Diceros bicornis minor: one gene and its partners. The protein of the gene in region 3 purifies or fractionates together with the protein of the main gene of each other region. This does not show direct contact. Links are inferred from orthologs where the notes say so. Each region holds a gene or a part of one and is shown on either strand. Other genes may lie near its edges.

Region 1 (6,911 bases), on a different chromosome or scaffold from region 3:
GCAGCCTGAGGGTTCGCTGGTTCGGATCCCTGGCGCACACCGACGCACCGCTCATCAAGCCATGCTCTAGCAGCATCCCATATAAAGCAGAGGAAGATGGGCACGGATGTTAGCCCAGGGCCGATCTTCCTCAGCAAAAAGAGGAGGATTGGCATAGGATATTAGCTCAGGGCTGGCCTTCCTCACACACACAAAAAAAATGATCATTTGAGTTTTACGGCAGGGACAGTCAGCCGACTGGGTGCCAGATGCTGGCTCCACCTGTGACTGGGAATTACTTTCCTTTTCTGGGTCTCCTTACTCATCTGCCAAATGCTCAGCAACTCTGAACTTTGGCCCAGGAAGAACCACTTCTATTATCTCCCCATTTACCTATCCAGCATAGTATATTTATTAAATAAAAATGTTTCTCCATTTTTCATGAATCAAAGATTTATATAACTGGCAACCAGAGCTGCTGAACAGAGCGACAAAAGGCAGCCACAGCCAGTCACTCGTGCTCCACACAATAGGCACAGTCTCCTCACGTTATTTGGCTTGAATGCCATTACCATCCGAGGGCAAATGTCCAGTTTCCATTAGGTTTTCACGAAGACGTTGACAATAATGCCCCCACCTCTACCCTGCAGGTACTACAGGGCTCCAGGACTCCTAGACCCTTCCCAAGAATCGTTCAGAATTTAGGGGAGCGGGGCTTGCCTTCCTGGGTTTTCCCTGAACCAGCCTTCGCCCTCTCTGGACTCAGGTTTCCCAAATGTAAAATGTAGGAGTGGACCTGGGCATTTCTTCAAGTCCTCTCAGCTCTGTGACTCTGGCTCGGGGAACACAGCTGCCTGCAGATGGCGGAGAACAGTGACACACATTCCCTGTGACTGCAGACGCCCTCCCAAGGCTGTTCCGAGGACTGGCATGGGGGCACTGGATGTGTTGCTCTCGCCGGCCCACCTCTCTGAATATGGTGCTTGTTTCCCAAGGGGAAGGGGCCTGGTGGCCATCCACTCAATGCTGTCACAGGAGCTGCTGGATATCAGTAGACAGTATCCTGATCTTGAACCCTTCCCAGACCTCCAAAGGTCTGACGATCGTCAAGCCAGGTCTGAGAGAGCAAACCACCGCCCCCCTCTCCCCCCTGGGTCTCTACAGACTGGGTCTCAGGTCAATTGTTCTCACTCAAGAGGGCTGAAAGAGAAGACCGTAGTTAGTTTTCTAGAAACTAAAATGTGTTATGGGGAAGATCTTAGAGACCATCTAGTCTAAACATCTCATTATACACATAAGAAAAGTGACTGGGAGGCCAAGCAGTGCTGGAACCAGGCCTCCCAACGTTCTCCCCATCTGGCCATGTGCTTCTTCTCTCAATTTGCTCCACCTAATAAATGAAGGCTTGCTTTTCAAAAGTACCACCCACTCAAAGGCCAAACTGACTGCTCTTCCTGCCCACTAGATCAGGTAAAGGTTTCTTTAAACAACCTGCCCACTATCACATACCGAAACTCCTATCCTGCATTTAGGCAGGTGCCGACCAGTAGGCCAATGAGGACCATGTGAGCTGTGGCAGATGGACAGGCACTGGCTCCATTTCCCCAGCACAGGTATGTCTGAAGAGCAGCACTTATGTGATAACTTGAAAATGTTACTGCATCCTGTCCTTTTTGTTTTATAAAAATTAGTGAAAAATGGAAACACTAAAGATGCTCCTGACAACAGTGGTCTCACAACTCGATACAACTAAGACAAGCCAGGAATCACAGGGTGTCCTGAAAGCCTACTGTGACCATCATGGGGCTTGCTTCACTCACATTATGTTCAACTGTGAAGAAAAAACCCAAAAACTGTAAAAACAGTAATGAAATGTTGGCGTCTGATACTGAAAACTGCTACAAGGAGAGACAGCCCTGGGCATCTTGTACCTACTTTAGCTCTCCAGGATCGGCACTTGCCTCGTTAACCTAGACAGACTCCACTGCTCAGTATCTGCACATCTGAACCGTATATCCAACATTTTTTTAAAAAAGGAATATACACTGTCTGAGGACTGCCTTTAGACCAGAAAGGGTTAGTTTGAGGCACTCTGGAAAAACTTAATATACATAGTACAAATTCCCACTGAAGGACCAGGTGTAGGGTGTTCCTAAAGTCAGTCATCCAGCTGATTCGACAAAGTGCTGTCACTTCTAGTCAAAGATAAAAGACCTTTAGGATCTTTCCCTCCTCATAATTCTGAGTAAGTTCAAGACATCCAAAGTGGCACTTGCTCCCGAATTGCTGATAGAGCTAGCTGGTAGCCTGGGGCCTTATCGAACCAAAAGCAAGCATCCTCCTCGCCACCCATTTCCTAACGGGTAAACAAAGGTCAAAACACCTCCTCAAAGTCCACCTCAAAGGCAACACAACGGGATGAGCCCTCACTGAGCCCACGCTTCCAGCCGGCTATTTCAGGATCCCATAGGTAGCAATGGAGTAGCGGCGCGTGTGAGATTCCCAACATGCCCCCCAGAAGCGCTCAGGGTCTAACCCGAGTGCTACCCACTCAGCGGGATCCGGTGCCCCTCGGGGAGCCCCAGCCCTGGTAGCGGGGCGCGTCCCCACCACCGCGAAATTGCTAACCTATCCCGGACCGCCAGGGCGGGGGGGCGGGGGCTCGCTGACCACGCCCTCCCGACCACGCCCCCAGCGCTTCGCGTCCACCTCCCCCCCCGCCCCCCCCCCCGCCGCGATGAATGGAAACGGGCGTTCCCGGCGCGCAGGCCTGCTCTGAGGCTCCCGCGACCCCGGGGCCGAGAAGGGCGAGGAGGTGCCGCGGGCTACCTCAGAGCCGATCATGTAGAACTCGCCGTCGTCCTCCAACTGGAACTTGACAGGCTTCTGCCCGAAGGTCTTGCTCAGCGCCATCATCATCATTGCGGTGGCGGAGGCAGGGGGCCGAGGCCGGGCAGCGAGACTGAGAGGGCACACCGAGGCAAAGAACAGGCCGGGGGCTCGCGCCGCAGCTGAGCTCCTCAGCGGCAGCCACAGACGACGACCAGACCGCCCTCAGTGCGCATGCGCGGCCTTTGACGCTGACGCGCGCGCCGCCGTCGCCCAAACAAAAGGCCGAGGCGCGCCCCCGCGGGCCCCTTAAAGGAGCCTCGATCCGTGTCTATTCCTCCCAGGCCGCCTCCCGAGTCGAGGTACCGAGGGAAACTTCTCGCGGGCAGAAATAGTAACCGAGGCCCTGACTCAGGCGGTGGCTTTCGCAGTCTCACAGCTGGGACTGGAACTCAGCCCAGTGGAAGAAGAATGAAATGAGGCCTGAAGGCGGGAGGAGGCCCGAGCTACCCATGTCTCAGTTTCCCCACCCGGGAATGCAGTGCTGCTGAGTAGATGAGAGGGCTCCTAGGAACAGATACTGCAGTTCCGGGCTCACAGCTGTTCCTGCTGCTGTGGGGATGGGCAGAATGACAACCCTGGGTGGGGCCTGGCAGGATTTCCAGGCCCAGGTGGTATTTGGTTTGGCTGGTGCACCAGATGAGTGTTGCAGAGGAGGGAACCTCCTCATTCCTTTCTTGACTGTGCTTTGTGCCTACAACAAGCCCAACTGTGCGGTGAAACTGGCCAGCCCTGCCCTGTGGCACCCAAAGCTCGGAGCGGGGACTGACGCTAATGAAAGCATCAGAGCATCCATGTATCCAGTGAACGATGCAGTAGGTCAGCAACGGCCCACTGCTAACAATTTCACATGGTTCAAGTCTAATAGAATTGCAGCTGTGATAGGTGCCACTATGAAGAAGATACACGTCGGGCTGGGTGGTGGGCAAGGAGACACTGGAGAGTTAGGAAGGGTTGGCCGTGGCAACCATGAGTTTTGTTCTGTGTCCCAAGAGCATTGGGAAACAGGAGTTTAGGATGGTGGCTGGGACGTGGCATGATCAGATAAAACGACCACCACTTAGTGGAGCATGATCAGAGGGGCAAGCGGGGAAACAGGGAACCAATTTCAAAGCCACTACAGGCATCTAGTGAGATGTGATGGAGGAATGGAGCGGGAGGAGCCCCAAGCATTGCACCCAGCCCCAAGGACCAGAGGCTTGCGGGTGGGATGGGCTGTGACCCTGGCTCCCAGGACAGAGGAGGTCCCAAGCCAGGCCTCCCACCTTCCTGGCCCAACCCCTTCTCCGTCCTGGCCTTGCAGTCACAGAGAGACCCCAGGCAAGCAGGTAGAAAATGACCATGTTTAATGACAGTCCTTAGTTTAAAAAAAAAAAAAAAAAGGCTTTGTACACACTACAGACATTTACATGGCTTTGGAGGGTCCCAGTGCTGGGATGAGGATTGAGGTATGTTGGGGCCTCCAGGGCCTGGGGTCTCTGGCAGGAAGCACCCCTCTTCCCCAGCCGACTGTGGACCTTTTGGCCTGGATCCTGGGGAGCAGATCTCCAGGATCACCAACCAGTGAGGGCTCCAGCTCCCCCAGCCCTGCTGAGGGACAGGGATGGAGACTGAGGGTGGCCGGTTTGACCGTGACCTGCACGAGGTAGGGCAGAGCCGACCTGAACCACCCTCACCCTTAATTAACACCAAAGCCTCTTTCCCAGTCTGAGACAGTCGCTGGCAGATGACCACGACCCGCGTGGCCTTCCCTGCAGTTGTCATGGTGGCAGCACCCCCTCCCCACCCCCCTGAGGAGACATGGGCTCCGTCCCATGCCTGGGGCCCACAGCCACAAAGATGGCCACAGGTTTCTAGCTGATGTCAGTGGCCTGGCAGGGGTCAGGAGCCCTGAGGGCATCCACGCTGGTTAGCGGAAAGTGTTGGCAGGTTCGGTACAGCCGAAGAAGTCGGGGCCCACAAGGCGGGGGAAGCCCTCCAGGGCCTTCACCTTCACTGGGTCAAACTTCCAGTAGAGGCGGCCACGCAGGAAGTAGGCATAGCCTGAGTAGAGAGGCGAGTCAGGCCTGGGCAAGTGGACACTGGGCCCCACGCCCGCCCCTCAGGCTGTGCCCAGGGATGGGCACAGGGGGCGGTCCGGGTGGGCAGGCCTTGGCCGCTGCTGAGTTTCTTGAAAACTGCAGGCCCCACGGTGGCCCTTCTAGAACCTCCCTTCCCTCGGAGGAACCCTTTCGCCTGCCCCCAGAGTCTGGTCTGAGCTACCACCCAGCCTAACAAATGCCAGGAGCCTCAGAGGCTCAACTCCTACCTCTCAGGAAAGCAAGTCTCTCTCGTCACTCCCCCCCTCCCCAAGTCACTCTACTCCCGCACCCACAGCCAAAACTACAGATGGGCATCTTGAGTCAAGGTGGATGATAAGGGCAACCTGGAGCCCCAGAGCCCAAGGCCACCACAGGACAGCGCTCCCAGTGGGTTCTGATGTGGGAAGGCACAGAAGCAAAGTGGGGGTGGGGGCACAGGAGAGGGTACTGGACTGCAAGTTCCCAATCTAGTCCTTCGAGACTGCAGGCTGGGTGATTCAGTGGTTAGTAGCAGGGACTGCCTAGGTGGGGGGCCTGGCTCCCCACCATCTACCTGGACGGCCCCGGTTAGGGACCTCATTGCCTGAACCTCTCTTTGTTCCTCTGGAAACTGGATTCATAACAGGTGCTACATCTGAGAATTGCATGAGACGTGTAAGGAGCTTGGTGCTGTGCCTGGAGCATCGTGGGTCCTCTGTGTGCAGCGGTTATTATTTGACCAGCTATGACCCAGGGCCCTGGCAAGTCCTAGTACCTCTCTGGCCCTCATCTCCTCATCTGCAGCACGGGGGTATAGCACTGCCCTGGCAGGAGGACAGGGGATAGGGAGGGCACTGGACAAAGGACCTGTGATGAGGAGCTGATGCCCAGCCACCACTTCCACCAGCCATGCCACCCTCAACACACCGTCAGCATCCTGGAAGGTGGCATCGATCTCAGAGGGCACCCCTCGCCAGTCGGTGACTCGGCGGGGCACAGGGCTGTCCACACGGCGCGTGCTGGGGTGGAAGCGCCAATAGTCTCCGCCGCAGAAGAAGTAGATCTTGTTCTTCTCGGGGCCCCAGACCAAGGCGGCGTGGACTGGGGACCCCAGCAGGCCCAGCTCAGAGAGGGGTGCAGGACCCAGGACTGGCTTCTCGCCGTCATACACCCAGTACCGAGCGCCTGCCAGAGGGGGGAGGCTGCAACGGAGCTGCCCAACTGCCATGCCCAGCCACCGCAGACCTGCCCAGCCGCCACCACCGCCACAGACTTTCCCAGCCTCAGTCCCTTGTCTGTCAAACACAAAGGCCAGGAATGCCTGCTCAGCACCCCACGCCAGAGGGCAGTTGGAGCCGCGGGGTAAGGTGAGTGGTGCAGACGCGGAGAGGTGCCCGCGGGAAAGGTTATTCTAAGCAGAGAGGCTGCCTGGCCTCCCACTTCTTCCCCTGGCATGTGGCTGCCCATGACAAGTGCCAGCTGACCACCCTGGCTGGGCCTTTGTTTATGAAATCCCTGCCACCTCGAATGCTCCAGGCTCTCGTCTCTGCCAGCTGCAAGTTAACGGAACAGGCTCTAGGCTCTCCAGACCTAGGTCACATCCCACTTCTGCCTTTTCCCAGCTGTGCCCTCAGGTGAGTCACTTCACCTCAGAGCCCCGGAGGCCTCATCTCTAGACCAGGGTTCATAATCCTGCCCACTCCACGGGGTGCCTTTGAGGGCTGACTGCACCAATACACAGGCCACGTGCAATACCTTCTACCCTATTCCCACCTCAAGAGCCGCCGCCTCCGCGAGCCCCCTAGCTGTGCCCAGAGGAGTGAGCCACACTCTCCCTTGGCCCCAAGGCTTCGGGGCACCCACCATCTGCCCATCACGTCTGTCTGTCTGTCCCTACCCTTGGCCATACCGTTCCTGGCTCCCGGAAGTCTCCTGAGCATGACCCCCAACTCCCACTCACCTTGGAAGAACCAAATGTGGCCC
Region 2 (7,634 bases), on a different chromosome or scaffold from region 3:
CTTGCTACCAGAAAAAAAAGATGGAAGGAAGATATATGTATGTACTTCTTCATGCCTGCAGGATGGATAAGAAATTGCAAACAATGACTGACTCTGCTCTGGGTAAGGGAACTATGAGAATAGGGGCTGTGGAAGGGGGACTTATTTTTCAATCTATGCACTTTTGTACCATCTGAATTTGAATGATTACAAAGCTTTTCAGGTAGAAAATAAGTTAGTCTCAATATGTTTAAGAAATTATTTAATAAGAGATATGAAACCATGATCTACCAGTTTTGAAAAACAATCTCTTAGAGAGATCTAAATTTTTAAAAGCCAAATCAATTATTTGGACGATTACCTAACTCAATTTAAGGACAACAGCTCAGAAAGCGCAAGTAATCATTTGGAAACATGTTTTATGTAGGCAGAAGGCCTTATGAGGTTGAGTAGGGTCTAGTTCCTCAAAGAGCCAGGCAGTAAGAGTAGCCAACATTTCTACTGTTCTGTGTAGTGACAAAACACAAATTACAGGGCCTTCATCCCCCAAAGAGAACCCTGCAAAGCACCCCACAGCCATCTTCAACATCCAAGAATGCAGGCTGGCTGGCATTTTCTTGCATTCCCAGAGCCACTGCACGTCCCACAACCAGATCCCACTTCTTCATACGCAAAGAACACCATGGCATACATAATTTAGTTAAAGTATTTTCTGTTAAGTTTCTAAGCGTTAACATAAAAGCAATATCTGGGCTGAGAACATATAGCTCTATTATCTTTAAAATCTTTATGCAAAACACATTATAGGTAACATTTTAAAAAGACTTCAGTAAGCAGCTTTCATTGAAATCCAAATGGAAAAACACAGTTATTCCATCCTATCTAACAAATTATTTCTGAACAAAAGGGGTGTAAAAATCAGCATCAGTCACCACTTACTGTGTACTTACTCTGCACCAGCACTTTCACATGCACGATCTTATTTAATTCCCTCAAATGCAAGCAGTCAGTACCATCAGCACCTCAATTTACATACCAGACAACTCCGTCTGATAGAGACTGACCAGCTTGCTCGAATTCACAAAGCTACTAAGAAGCAAGGGGCAGAATTCAAACTCAGGTCTCTAACCTTAAAGCCCCCGCTCTTTTCTACTGTTACAGTAGGTCAGAAACATCCAAGAGAATGTAAATTAAGTTGTTAAAGTTTTAAATCTGCTTAACAGGAAAACACAAAGAGTAAAATGCACAAGATGCTCTAAACCAGAACCTGGATACCCTTAAGTATTCGATGCTCAAAGTTGTTTTATCAACGCTTAGACCTCTCCATTATTTAGTTCTTGGCTACTCTTCCCACATCTGTGTATTTATGTTGAGATTTTTGGGAACCCCAAGGGAAGCCCCTATCTGTATGGAAGTCAATGACGGCATATGGAGAATGTGGCTGTTATATGAGTAATTTTATATAAACTAACTCTTATTTTTATAACGTCGCAAAATCCCCTTTCTAGATTAGAGTTTGATTAATCTTCATTAAATTATATGCTCACAATACCCAAATTTAATACACTTGTAAAGTACATAGCCAAATTCCTACTAGAAAAAGTGCAAGTATATAAGAAAGGTAACCTAGTGCAGGGGATACCTCGACTCTGGGGCCATCCGGTTTGGGTTCAAAAACCTGATCTACCACTTACCAGCTGTGTAATCTTGGACATGTTACTTAACATCTCAGTCCCAATGTCCACATCAGTAAAACAAGGATGATAAAAAGTAATCCTAGTGCTGTTGTATTAAACCCAATAACAGCATGTAGAACTTTTCAGGTGTGCCAGGCCCCGTTCTAAGTGCTCAAATGTTAGCAATTACTACCAGAGACGTTTTAGAAATAGCTGAAAAGAACACTCGTATGAAGACCAACAGCAATCTCAAACTGTATTTCATACTATAAGCCAATAACAACACCTTTTCTTTGGTGAGCTGTTGCTAAATTCTTTTCCCCTTTGCCAATTAAAACATACTCATCTTGGGGGCTGGTTACATGGGTTCATGGTTACATAGTTCACCGTAAAAATTCATCAAGCCATAGGCTTATGATTTGTGCACTTTTCTGTACATATGCTATTTTTCAATAAAATTTTAAAGAAATCCATTAGTCTGAAGCCCAAAGAGACACCGCTCTATATTTAAACCCAAGAAATGTCAAACATATCCAGCGCTTCCTACAAATACAATTAATCTCACAGCAGATTCTTTCTCCCCTTTTAACGCCACACTTATACGTCAGAAATCATCCCATAAACCACTTAAATTTTGAAAATAAAAATCACCTGCCACCTCATCCAAGGGCTAAATTGATTACATTTTTCTGTTCTATGTATAAAATGCCAAAATTAGGAAATTCAGGACAAGAGTTAAATTCGTGCAAAATAAAAGTTGCCAGACACTCTTACTTAGTCACTTCAGGAAGCCACTGAACGGTAAGACTCGGCCACTGCAGAGCATGTGTCATAACCAGGTCATACAGAAACGGTGTATTCTTCTTCCAGATTTTATATTCTTCATTGATGACACGCTCCTCCACAGTATCTTCAAACACTGAAATTTGGAGAAAGCCCATACGATTAAGCGGCTGAGAGGGATCAAAATCAGAATCGATACACAGATACTGGAGATCACCTCGAGACGGCCACACCTAATCTACTCTTTGCCTTTAACCTCTAATTTGGACGCGAACAACTGCTCTTCCAGAATGTGGAGAGAATATTAACACCAGAAAGCTTATTTTTTGCAGTTTGAGATCAATACCGCCTGCGTATTCAGAACGGAGTAATTAATTACACGGACACGGAAACTGTCTTGCTGGTTACTGCTGTTCGCACCTGTTCTAAGATGACGACCCGTATGTAGAGGAGCTCCACGACCCGCCCCGGGAGACGAATCCACGTGTAGCAAAACCCCATCGGCCCGCTCCCTCCAACCCCCACCAGGAGAGGCCTCCGCTCCCACGAAACCGGTGTCGGCAGCCATAGGCCGGCGGGTTCCAGAATCCCCCGGACAAGGGCCGCGACCCCGAGGCGGTCGACGCGCGCGCGTGGAAGAAGCCGCCGTGCCCGCTTTCCGGCGGCGGAGACCGCCTCCACCCGGGACCGAGGGCGCGGGAGGGAGCGCCGCCGCCGGGAGGGGGGGTCCGAGGGGAGAGAGGGAAGGGGGCCCACCCCGCGGCCCCGCGCCCGGCTCCGGAAGTGCTCAAAGCCCTCAGCGCCGCGGCCCCGTCCCGCGTAGGCCCTCGAGGCGCGCGCCCAGCCTCGCGCCCGGCCCCGCCCCCTGCTCCTCACGCCAATTCGCGCCTTTCGCCGGCGCGTGCCGCGGCCTCGCGCGCCCGCCGCCCCCCGCGGCCCCGGCGTGCGCCGCCCCGCAGGGCCTCTTACTCTCTTTACTCGCCATCTTGCGTCGGGTCGTTCGCCCCTCGCCGCCGCCTCAGACTCCCCTCGCTAGCCAAGAGCAGCCCAACCGCAGGCGCTCCTGCCTTTCCCAGGCGCGTCACACACTTCTAGCTCTCGAAGCGTGAGCTCCGGCTCACAGCCTGGGTGCTCCCCAGACGCCGCGTCCTTCTCTCCTGCCTCCTCCCCGCTCGCGGGTACCGAGGTCTGAGGCGCTCTTCTCTCTCTCTCTCCAAACTTGGAACGAGACTTTTCAACCCGCGCCTCTCAGCCCGCCCAGGCAGCTGAGCGCAGGCGCATCCGCCCTGGGAAAAGCGAGAGGCGGTGGAGAGGCGGACCTGGGAGCCAACGGCTTCATCGCCTCGACCAATGACGTGCGGCAAGCAGGTTTCACGCGGCGTTCGGAGGCGGGCTTCTGGGGGTGCGCAGGGCGTTCCGCGGCAGGAAGTTGGCGAGGCGCAGGCGCGAGGGCTCGCCCGGCGCTCCCAGGGCCGGCCGCGGGGGCGGATGGGGGTGCGCTGGGGGTGGGGCGAATGGAGGCGCGGCGTGCGGGCTGCACGGGGGCTGCGAGCCTCGCGGAGGCGAGCCCCGGGGCCGTGGGGCGTGGCTGCTTGCAGCGGCCGTGGCGGTGGGGGTGGGAGGGGGGCAGGGAGGCTGCCTCCGCTTAGCCAAGCAAAATCTCAGAGCCAGAAAGGAAAATGGTTTCTAGTCTGGAGAGATTACTGTGCCCGCAAAGTCTACCCAATAATCACGAGCATGCAATTCTGTGCACCTTGAAAGGTCTTCCACCAGCCGACTGGCCTTTCGTGGGGCTCGGTCGAGCCGAGGTGGGGTTTGTCGGAGGCAAAGGGGACTTTTTGCAGAGGCCGCGGGCGTTTTCTGACTGCAGAAGCCGCCGGGCCTCCCTGTTAGGCTAAACCTGCGGCCTGTGCTGGCACAGGCCGCCAACGGCCCGACGCTCTTTTGAATTACGTTTTCGTTTGTTCACAAATTTGGGTCCTTAAAAATGATGATTTGTGGCCTCGCGTACTGCAGAGGATTTTGTCCCTACGCTGGCGTTCTTGTTTCCGTCCCAGCCCAAGACCCTGCTGAGTCATTCTTGTCACCTGCGGGGGTCCCAGGGCAACCGCACCCCAAGCTGGTGAGGCTGGGAAGAGTTGGGCTGAGCTGACCCGGGGCCGGCTTGCCCGAGCCCTGCTCTGTCCTGGAATTTGGTAGCCCCTGGGGAGTGCGTGGGGGTGGGGAGAAAGCGGGCTGCAAGGCTAAACGGGAACGAAAATGAAGGCCAGGAGCAGAGGGGACAGGGTAGGAGGGGGCGGCAGAGGTGCCTACATGCAAAGGGAACCTCTGTCTACATCCAGACTGCAAGAAAGGCTCCCCCTGCAAAAGCACCACCGGAACACTTGCTGCCTTGATATTTTCCAAGTGCCTTCATGCAAGTGACCATGGTGATTCTCAAACGAAATCGTGCAGCTGCTGCCGTGATGCCCACGTTTCTGATCGGGAAACAAACCCAGACGTTACTCTAGTCGGTGGCAGAACCACTCGTATTACCTTATATAGAAATTTACTGTCTGGTGCTTCTGGTTTCCGATACGATGCGATTCATTATTACAACGCTCTCCCTTTATGTCAGGCCCAGGAATCTTGTTAGTGACTAAAGCTGGGGAGGGGGCGGCTGGAGAGGGAAGAGGGTTGCAAGGGTGTTTAAACAATACAGCCCTCATGTTCTAGAACGCTGGTGGGCAAATGTTTTCTCTAAAAGGGGCCAGAGAGTAAATATTTTAGGTTTGGGGGGCAACTACTCAACTCTGCCGCGTTATAGAGAGAAAGCAGCCCTAGACGATATGGTTGATCATGGCTGTATTCCAATAAAACTTGATATACATTGAAATTTGGACTTCATAAAATTTTCACGTGTCACAAAATACTCTTTGGATTTTTTTCAACCGCTTGAAAAATGGAAAAATCATTCTTAGCTCGTGGGCCATACGAAAACAGGCGGCGGGTTAGATTTAGCGGAGGACTGTAGTTTGCCCATCTTGTTCTAGAGTAATTGTCTTACAGCTCTGCTTCAGTGGGAACCTCCTCATGTGCACAGCAAGAGAAGGCTTGGCAGACGATTTCCAGTCTCCCTTTAATATATTTTACTTATTTCTGATGGGTAGGCATAATTTCCAAAACCTATTAAATGTTTAAAGGGTTGAAAGAAAAGAAATCCTCCCAGACAATATGGCTTTAAAATCTTTATACTGTCCACTTCACTGAAGATCAGAGTACGAAGTATGAAGCAGATATTTTGGGAGTTTCTGAAAATATTCAGGCACTATCATACACTTAATCTGCAAGTATCATGTACAGCATATTTCGTTAGCTTTGGATTTTTTTTGTTGTTAAATTGAATTTGTCAAATCTGTTTCTCTAATTTTTTTTGGTCTTTTCCCGGTCGGGTACTTTTTTGCATCAAAAATGTAATAGCAGGGGCCGGCCTGGTGGCCTAGTGGTTAAGCTCCCTGCGCTCCGCTTCCCTAGCGCCCACGGTTCGCGACTCGGATCCGGGCGCGGACTTAGACTACCCATCAAGCCATGGTGCAGTGGCGAGCCACATACAAAATAGAGTAAGATTGCTATAGATATTATCTCAGGGCCAATCTTCCTCAGCCAAAAAGAGGAGGATTGGCAACAGATGTTAGCTCACGGCCCATCTTCCTCACGGAAAAAAAAAGGAATACCAGTTTTCTCTCTTGAATTGCTTAACTGTTCAGTTTTGTTTTTGCCTTTCACCTCGTCTTCTTAGCTCTGGTCCTAATCTTTTCTCCCACTTTCTCTGTGGTTGTCTTTCTGTCTCATGCACTCAGCTAAGTCTGCTAATCGAGTTAGGCACCAAGAGGCACATGCACCAGGTTGGGGGCTATCTTAACTGAGAGACGCCATGTTTAGGTCCCTTTCTCTAAGACTGCTTACCTCCGAGTTGCTGTAGTGTTAACCACCACTTTCTCCATGCCCACCGTGTTTCACAGACTAGCACACTTGTATATAAACCAGAACAAGTTACACCAAACAGTGCTGACCTTTAATATGTGTGATGCACTCTGGTATTTTATCTCATTTAAAAAAATATGCAGATGACCCTCTACATTGATTTCGTGATTGCACTCAATCACAAATTGAAGTCTGAAAAACACAGACAGTAGGATATTTTTGAAACCTCTAGCCAGTCCCCGACCACCCTTTATAAAATAACAACACACCCTCATCCGCCCTGACCGGTAATCACTCTCTATCCCCCTTACTCTGTTCTCACTACCTGACAAAGATTTGTTCATAGGCGTTTTCCCTTACACTAGAACGTAAATTGATGGCGGCATCTTTGTTTTGTTGTATTCGGCACACCTGGACCAGTGCTTACCAGATGTGGAAGCTCAGGCAGAGAGGGGTGAAGTGTTTTGCCAAAGTCACATAGCCAGTGAGTGTTGGAGTTGGAATTTGAATTCAATCAGTCATATTAAAACAGCAAAACTAATTGTATGTGTTAGAATGAACTGTTTACCGAAAGGAACAAGAGAGGGAAATGGTATCTGGACAGAGCTGCAGGGTGATTTTGTGTTCATTAACAACCCTGTCTCACCAGTTTTGGGGGAAAATCTTAGCCATTCAAAAAAATTTTTGCAGTACCTACTGTGTGCCAAGAGATGGTCTGAGAGCTGGAGATACTTGGATGAACAAGACATATAGAGCACCTGCTCTTTCATACATTCCTTTATTTTTTTTAATTACAAAAGCAAAGCTCATTACAGAAAAATCTGAAAATTACACGAGCAAACGGGGTGCATAAAGAATACCAGTTTTGTTCCTAGCCAAATCATTTTCATCCAAATCATTAGGAGCAGAAGAAAATACACGAAAACATTAATAGCCGTTGTCTCTTGGTTACTGGTATTATGGATGGTGGTTATTTTATTCTTCATATAGTGCTCTATTTAAAAATTTTCTCCAGTGGACAGACATACGCTTATAAACAGAAAAAACAAAGGCCACACGTTTTAGAGAAAATATATTAAAAAATGGTAGAAGAGTGATGCAGACAAATGAAGAGTTATCGTACCGTGCTAGAATTCTAGGTAATTTCTCTTAAAATATTGTTTAATGCAATTGTGTGAGAGGGAGTTAAAGGAAAATTATAAAATAGAAAACTGTAGTTGTTTGAACTGTTTT
Region 3 (7,429 bases):
CTGAAACAGTAAAATTCAGGAATACACTCAGTAAAAAAGCAGAAATGAAAGAACAGTGTATTGTGTTTAAAAGTTTTGTCATCATCTTTTATCATCATCTTGAAGGGACCTGGAGAGAGGCTGTGTCTTTGTTTCTCCCAAGGAGTTACAACATCTCTAAGGTGGCACGTGAGAGGAGCCAGAAGGAAGGATGAAAAGGGAGAAAAGTTTTAGTAAGAAGCGAAGCTTTTTAGACGAGGAAGATAAACTTCTTGGACAGGCCTAGGTCAGCAGCCTAAGGGTGCTGCTGAACCTGAAAGGATCTAGATTCATATGACTTGAAAGAACTCATATAGACTATGGAAAAGCAGAGCGGGCCTCCACCTACTCTCTGCGCATGTAAGCTCAGCTTACAAACTCTCTGTACTTATTAACTGTACCTATATTTATGTGGTATTTTTCAGTACTACCAGTGCTTTCATGTCTTTTCTCAATTAATACATAGTTCAGTGACAAAGAGACCAGCAAAGGTGTGCTGTCAAAACAACTTATTATGCAAAGTAAAATAGGAGATTAGGAGAGAGCAAGCCCTTCCTAAATGCTCCTCAGGTGCTGACAGTAAAAGCATGCAACCAGCAACCAGTCAATCAAAAAGATAAGTGCCATAAAGTAGAATCAAAAAGACAGGAGGCAAGAGGTGGCAAGCCCAGCAAAGTAGGAAGGAGTAATGACAGACTGACAAGAGGAAGAAGCATCCAGCAAAACTGGGAGAGAAGCAGGAAGAAGTGTAGCAAAAAGCAAGTAGACTTTTATATGTGTATATTCTTCTCTGGAACAATATCCAAGAACTATGAAGTAGTGACTGCCTCTGAGGAGAGGAACTAGGGGACTGGGGGAGAGGGATGGGAGGGAGGCTTACTCTTCACAGGATACTTTTAGTACTTTAAAAATTTTGTACAATGTGTATGTACTATTTAAAAGTTGACTGAAAAAAAAAAGAAGAAAAAAGAAAATCAAGCAGAGATGTTGACAGCAAGAGCCAGCCAGCTAGCCAACAAAAAGGCAGGAAGACAATGAGAGACTGGAAAAATGGCAAAAAGACTGAGGCAGGCAGACTGTCTAAGGAACCAGCAAGACAAAAAGAAGAGACAAATGAAATGGAGGCAAGCAGTGAGGGAAGGCAGGGTAGGGGATATGGGAAGAAGGCAGATAAGAGTTTGGGGCAAGGGGGTCACTGAGAGGTTTGGGGTAGAGAGACCGTCACCAGTGACAGGATGTTGGTATAGAGGAAGCTAAGGGAGGAAAAGCTGATAAGCAGACAGACTAAAAAGATACAAGCATTAAACAGTGAGATAGCAGCAAGCAAGTAGGGTAGACAGGCAAGAAGACAATCATAAAGGGAGGCAAGGAAAAATCATGAACTTTACAGGCATAAATAAGAGGAGGAAGAAGTAGAAGGGCAAGATAAGAGGCAAACCAAGATAGGGAACCATGGCAGGGCCTGGCAGGTAGACAGACCAAGGCTAAAAAAGTGATAGAGACAGGCAGGCGGGGAGACAGATGGCTAGAGAGCGAGCAGTGGGCAAACAGCCAGAGAAGCAGACAGACAACCAGAGAGAGAAAGAGGCTGCCAGCCAGTCAGGGAGAAGCAGACAGGCAGGCAGGCAGGCAGGCAGACAGACAGCGTAACAGGAGCAAGCAGGTAGAGAGGCAGGTAGAAACGAGGAAAGAAGAAAAATCAAGAGGTCAGCAAGGAGAAAAAGAGAAGAGGAGATGCAGGCAGAGTGGGAGATGGACAAGAGGGAGAATCAGGCAAATTAACAGATTTACATGCAAAGCACACTCAAGAGAATGACGAATGTTTGTATAGGGATGCACACAGCCACCTTTAGCCACTCACACCTGCAGCTCATGGCACATGCGGCAGGCAGGCAGAGGCGCTCAGCACAGAGGGAGAGGGCACAGAGGCAGAGACTGCGGCACACATGATGTGCAGGGTTGCCCACACACATGTGGGGACACTCTTCCCAGACACACACAGAGGGGCCAGAAAGAGGGGGAGTCAGGCACACATGAGGAAGAGGCACATACAGTCAGGGCCTGGAAGACAGACGTAAGCAGAAAGAAGACAAAGATGAAAAGTCACTTAGAGGTGACAGAGCCTGAGAGTCAAAGGGATAAGAAAGTCTCTGTGAAAAAATAAACACACACATACAGAGAAGCCCATATGCAGAAAGGGGGATAGTAAAGAGAGACTGAGAAAGAGAACAGAACAAAATTGAATGGAAGAGGGACAGGAGTTAGACTCAATACAGGAATGATATGAGAACAGAGGCAAGCGAATTCCAAATGCCAGGTTAAGAAAAAGATGGAAATCAATGCTCAATAAAGTGTATTAGTCTATGTAGGGGGGGGTGGCACATCAATAAAGAACATTTTAGCCTCCTAAGCAAAAATTTGCATAGTATTCTTTGTCACTAATACTTTCTGGTTGCTGCCTACCTATCCCTACCTCTTAAGGTGCTCTGAACACTGCAGGGGCTGCTGGGTGGCTGACAGCTCTACTTAAGCGGTAGAGAAATAACCCAGGAGAGAAATGATTCCACAGGCATGGGATAGGAAGCAAGGAAAGGGGCAACATGAAATCAAAAGAATGGGAGGAAACTGGAGTAAGAAAAGGGTGACAAGAATGAAAAAGGGTAGAACTGAGCTATTTGCCCTCTTTCCTTTGCTAGCATTGCTCAACTGGCAAGTTTTATTTTATGACTTCTCTGCTCACATCTCTGGGTGAGAAAGCTACTTTCGGACTCCTTTTCAATCCATCTGACTCCTGGTACCACTTTTAAGATAACACTGGAGTACAGTGGGAAATCATGGGTCAGAAAGTTAGATGAAAATGCGAGTGTAACCCCCTACCTCTTTCTTTTTCTCAGTCCCAGTTACTTTTCTCTTTGACGGTACCTCAGTTTCTTCTACTTTATCAGTGTTGGAGACCATGGAGGAAGGGAAATATACTGAAACGGGAGAAAAGAGAAAATAATTTCACAATCTTCAGACTTGACTCTTTCCCCTTTATTCTAAAAATCTGTTCTATTTACCCCTAAATTAATTCCCCAAATCAGATGAATTTTATATTCAAGCAACTGGGGGAGGGAAGGGAGAGGTAAAGGAGAAAAGAGTGAAGATAAAATTTACAACAATTATAAATCACTGAAAAGGCTGGGCAAAGGGGAGAATCAAACATGGACTCCTTTGAAAAAAACTCAATCATCCTATCTATTCATATCTCTCCCCCAAAAGTCACTAGGATTTCTATTACTTTTTTAAAGAAAGAAAAAAAAATCCAGTACTGCTTCTCACTTAAAAGATACATATACAATTAAATGCGTTTTGACTTCAATGAGGTATGTAGAAACAGAGTTATACATAAACATATATTTCATCTTTCTCCTTTTCAATGCCTGAAGGGGAAAAAAAAACCTTCACATCAAACCACTCCCTTCTGAAGTATTCAGAAAAAAAAAAAAAAGCTTTTCTTTAAGAGAAGGGAGGTGGGGAGGAAGACTAGTAAAGAAAAGAAAAAAATTTAAATCTAGTTGGACTAGTATCTAACTAGTTAACCTTTAACAATTTATGCTGATGTCAGACTGAGCATGAGTACTGATTAATGCCCCCCCTCAAATATTTTTTTATAAGGGGGGAGTTAGTCACAGCAGCCATTTTTGTTTTATGCAGAAGTCCTTCATGCCCCCCCCAACGCGCATAGACACACACACACACACTCAGTACACAAGGAAAATATCTCTATTAATCTGTGCACTAATCAGTTATGAAAAAAGGGAGAAATTTGTGGGTTTCTGGGTAGAGGCTTGGAGATGGGGGTGTAACAGGGAGGAGAATGGGGGGGTGAAAAATGAAATATTAAGCCAGCCATTTTGTTTTAAAAGGGGATTTTCCCCCCCTCTCCCTTTTTTCATGGAGGGGGTGGCGGTGCTGGGGGGGGGGGTTGTTTTAAAAATAATTTCAAGGCGGCCATCTTAGTGCCTCAGCTCTGAGAAATATTTCTGAGCGCCCCCCTCAGAATTTAAATATATTTAAAGCAACAGACAGGGAGGTAGAGAGAAGTCGAAAACTTTTATATACATATATATATATATTTTTTTTAATCCCCCTTTCTTGTTCTCTTGGGAGGAAGGAGAGAGGGGGAAAAAAAAAGTCTCTCCTCAATTTTTTCCAAGAAAATTTCTGGGGGTGGTTTGGCCCCCCTCCTCAGACGGCGGCCCCGGGGGTGGGGGTTTTGGAGGGGGGTGGCCCGGGGGTTTGGGGGGCTGGGGGAGGCGGTGAGGAGGAGGAGGACGCCGCCGCCGAAGAGGAGGAGGAGGAGGAGGAGGAGGAGGAGGTGGTGGTGGTGGTAGCGGTGGGGGAGGCGGGCGGGCGGTGGGTGGGGGGGTGGTGGGGGGGCCAGAGCCACAGGATGGCTTCCCCTCTGAGGGACGAGGAGGAGGAGGAGGAGGAGATGGTGGTGTCGGAGGAGGAAGAAGAGGAGGAAGAAGAGGGCGACGAGGAGGAGGAGGAGGTGGAGGCGCCCGACGAGGACTATGAGGACGACGACGAAGGAGTACTCGGGCGCGGGCCGGGCCACGACCGGGGCCGCGACCGCCACAGCCCCCCCGGCTGCCACCTCTTCCCGCCGCCGCCGCCGCCGCCGCCACTGCTGCCCCCGCCGCCGCCACCCCCGCCGCCAGGTAAGCGGCAGCTCCGACTCCCCCCCAGCCCGAGTGGGAGCCGCGGGCGCGCGGGGCCGGGCGGGGGCGAGGCACCCACCGCGCGGCCGAGCCGAAGCGAATCCGGGCGCGGGCGCCGTCTCGGGCCCGGCGGTCCGAGCGGTCCGGGCGGGCGGCGGCGGCGGCGGCGGCCGCGGGGCCAGGCCTCCTCCCCTCCCCCGCCGCACCCCTCCCCCGCCGCCGCCGCCGCCCGCCGCCGCCCCGGCTGGAGAGCGCTGGGCGCGAGCTGCGCGCGCGGACCGGGCCACTCGGTCGCGGCTTTCGGGGGAAGAGGAGGAGGAGATTTTTTTTTACCCTCGGCGGGGAGGGGGTAGGCAGGAAACGGCCGAGGCGAAGCCAGGGCCCCCTCCCTGGCCGAGCGAGGGACCGCGGAGACCCTGGCGGCCGGACGGCGGCGTGGGGGAGGGGCGCGTGGGGGAGGGGCGGCCGTGCGGGCGCCCTTCGGGCTTCGGCCCCGGTGGGGTTGGATTGAGGTAAAGTGGGGTTTCGACGTGTGGGGCCGACCGCGGCCCTAACTCCTTCCCCTCTGGAGTTGGGAAGGCGGGGGGAGGGAGTGGGTGTCCAGCGGAGCCCCCCACCTGCGGGGACTTTGGTGCCCGCCAACTCTGGGGCGTGCGGTGGCACATGGGGGAGGGGTCGTGTGAATGTTTGTGGGCGGCTGACGACTAGGGGCAGGTGGTGGCCACACTCCACGCAGACCACTTCCTGGAATGTGACTTGATCCTACCCCCTTTCCCCCCAGTTCGTAATAGGCAGAGCAGTCACTTAAGATTGGGGAGCGAGAGGACAGTGTCTGGGAAACCAGATGCCCCCAACTCCACCCCCTTTATCTCTCCTCTGCTCTGGGCTCCTTTGTGTCAAGTGCGCCCCCCCTCCCTCCATGACCCCGTCAGTCTGGGGTGGCCGAGCTGCCCAGCTGTGACTCTCACGTGGCTGCCATTCACTGTCACTCACTCTCTCGCTCAAACCACCCACACCCTGACCACTTTGGGGGTCGTGAACTTCCCACCCAGCTGTTCTGCAGTTTGACCATCACTCAGCACCCCTCCCCGGGATAAGTCACCCGGCATTCTGGGCAGTTCCACCAGTGGCGGAGGGGACAGACCGCTGCCTTGCATGGGGGGCCCAGCAATGGCCTCACTCAGACCACCCTCCTAGTGGAGTTATTTCTAGTTTTCTTTACAATAGGTGAACATCTTTAGAGTGTTCACACCCCATGCTTGGGGAATGAAAGGGTACATCCGCACCTCAGGCCTCTGGGTGCTGTGCTGCACAAATGCACCAAACTTCAAAACATCTAACATCATGCTCTTTGTAAAACTGTTATATTGATCTGTGTGGCTTATGTGGCAAATGATCCTGTCTAGTTGAGACAACCTTTGAGGGAATGTGGCATGTTTCCTTATGAGGGGCAGAAGGATGTATGTCTGATGGAAACAGAATAAAGCCCCCCGCCCCCCACCAATCTTTTCTGAAAAAGGGAAAAGTTTTTAGAAAGTTATCCCAGAGAGCCCACTGATTTGCACGAGGGAAAAGGAATAAAGAATTGTGGGGAGGGGGTTGCCTGGAAAACAGCAGGGGTGCTAAAAAGAGGGAAAGAAAGGATGTCAGGTTAGGTTAGGGGTTTGGCGGCTCTCATCTATTTGTATTCCGAACTTGGAATGTGGTGTTTGGGTGTTTTTGATCCCGGATTTGGGTATGTGGGAGAAAGAGGAGCATGAAAGAATCTGAGGTCGAGATGGGTCTTTGTGTCAATCCTCCCTTCCCTTTCCCAACTCTGCCTTCTGAGTAGACGAGAAGAAACGTCAATGTTTTTAAATTTTTATATTTGAAATGAAAAACCACCTCCTCTCTCTCCCAGGGCAATTTATCTCCCTTTCAGCCCTCCGAGTCAAATGAGTGACCCAGATACACCCCCTCAGATGACTTTCTGAGGTAAAACTTTGGGAAAATATTTTTAGTCTGCTCATTATTTTTGTCTACCTAAGTGTGAGCAAAATAACCCTCCTAAAGGAAATTTATTCCGGCTGCCCTCCCTCTTTTCTCTAGAATATGAATTTGTACGTATTAGGGGTTTCTATTGTTTTTCATTCTGACTGCTTTGATTTTCACCATTTTGTTTTACATTCTTACCCAAGACCAATTTTATCCCTTCCCCCCTCTCCAGTCTCCTTACATTGTTAAACGTTTAAAATAATAGCACTCGTGTTGATGGGGGAAGGGAGCAGGAAGCCAAAAACTCATTTCTTCTCCCTCCCCCTTCTGGCAAGTCTAGAGAAATAATATAACATAATATATAGATGTGATTCCTTGGGGGTGGGGGTGGGGAATGATTGTGGGTGGTGCGGAAAATTCTGGTAGTTTCTTTGCAAAAGGTCTGAAAATACAAACCCACCCCCTGCGTGCAATACGCATGTGCAGCAGACCTATTATGGTGGTTCGTTGTGGGGGAGGGAGGGGAATTTGAGAAAAAATAAATATATGTGTGAGAGATTGATGGTGAGATTAGAAGGAGAGAGGGGCGGGCGGGAGGCGAGGCTTTCTGCGAGGCTCCTCCTGCTTTCTCCGGCTTGCCAGGCCCCGCCCTCCCGCTCCTCGCCCGCCCTCCTCCCTCGCAGTCTTCCCGAGATCTGAGCCAGGGCTGTGGGAGAGTCTGGGCTCCAGGC

What was found.
Region 1: the proteins of CHD3 (region 3) and SMARCB1 purify together in Homo sapiens (affinity purification with mass spectrometry; 3 studies listed by BioGRID, with this or other methods). This does not show direct contact. The link is inferred for Diceros bicornis minor from reciprocal best matches to the Homo sapiens genes CHD3 and SMARCB1.
Region 2: the proteins of CHD3 (region 3) and RBBP7 purify together in Homo sapiens (affinity purification with mass spectrometry; 6 studies listed by BioGRID and IntAct, counting the BioPlex papers as one, with this or other methods). This does not show direct contact. The link is inferred for Diceros bicornis minor from reciprocal best matches to the Homo sapiens genes CHD3 and RBBP7.

The regions. Positions count from the first base shown.
Region 1 is NC_080774.1:29,771,595-29,778,505, forward strand, and holds the start of SMARCB1 (SWI/SNF-related matrix-associated actin-dependent regulator of chromatin subfamily B member 1), read right to left. Parts: upstream 3,022-6,911; 5' UTR 2,902-3,021; coding exon 2,809-2,901; intron 1-2,808. Other genes in the region: MMP11 (stromelysin-3), read right to left, coding at 4,778-4,911, 5,856-6,113, 6,889-6,911.
Region 2 is NC_080781.1:13,855,764-13,863,397, forward strand, and holds the start of RBBP7 (histone-binding protein RBBP7), read right to left. Parts: upstream 3,022-7,634; 5' UTR 3,007-3,021; coding exon 2,859-3,006; intron 2,575-2,858; coding exon 2,430-2,574; intron 1-2,429. UniProt on the Homo sapiens protein: Core histone-binding subunit that may target chromatin remodeling factors, histone acetyltransferases and histone deacetylases to their histone substrates in a manner that is regulated by nucleosomal DNA.
Region 3 is NC_080757.1:10,508,195-10,515,623, reverse strand, and holds the start of CHD3 (chromodomain-helicase-DNA-binding protein 3), read left to right. Parts: upstream 1-4,429; 5' UTR 4,430-4,453; coding exon 4,454-4,724; intron 4,725-4,803; exon of another isoform or gene 4,804-4,865; intron 4,866-7,429.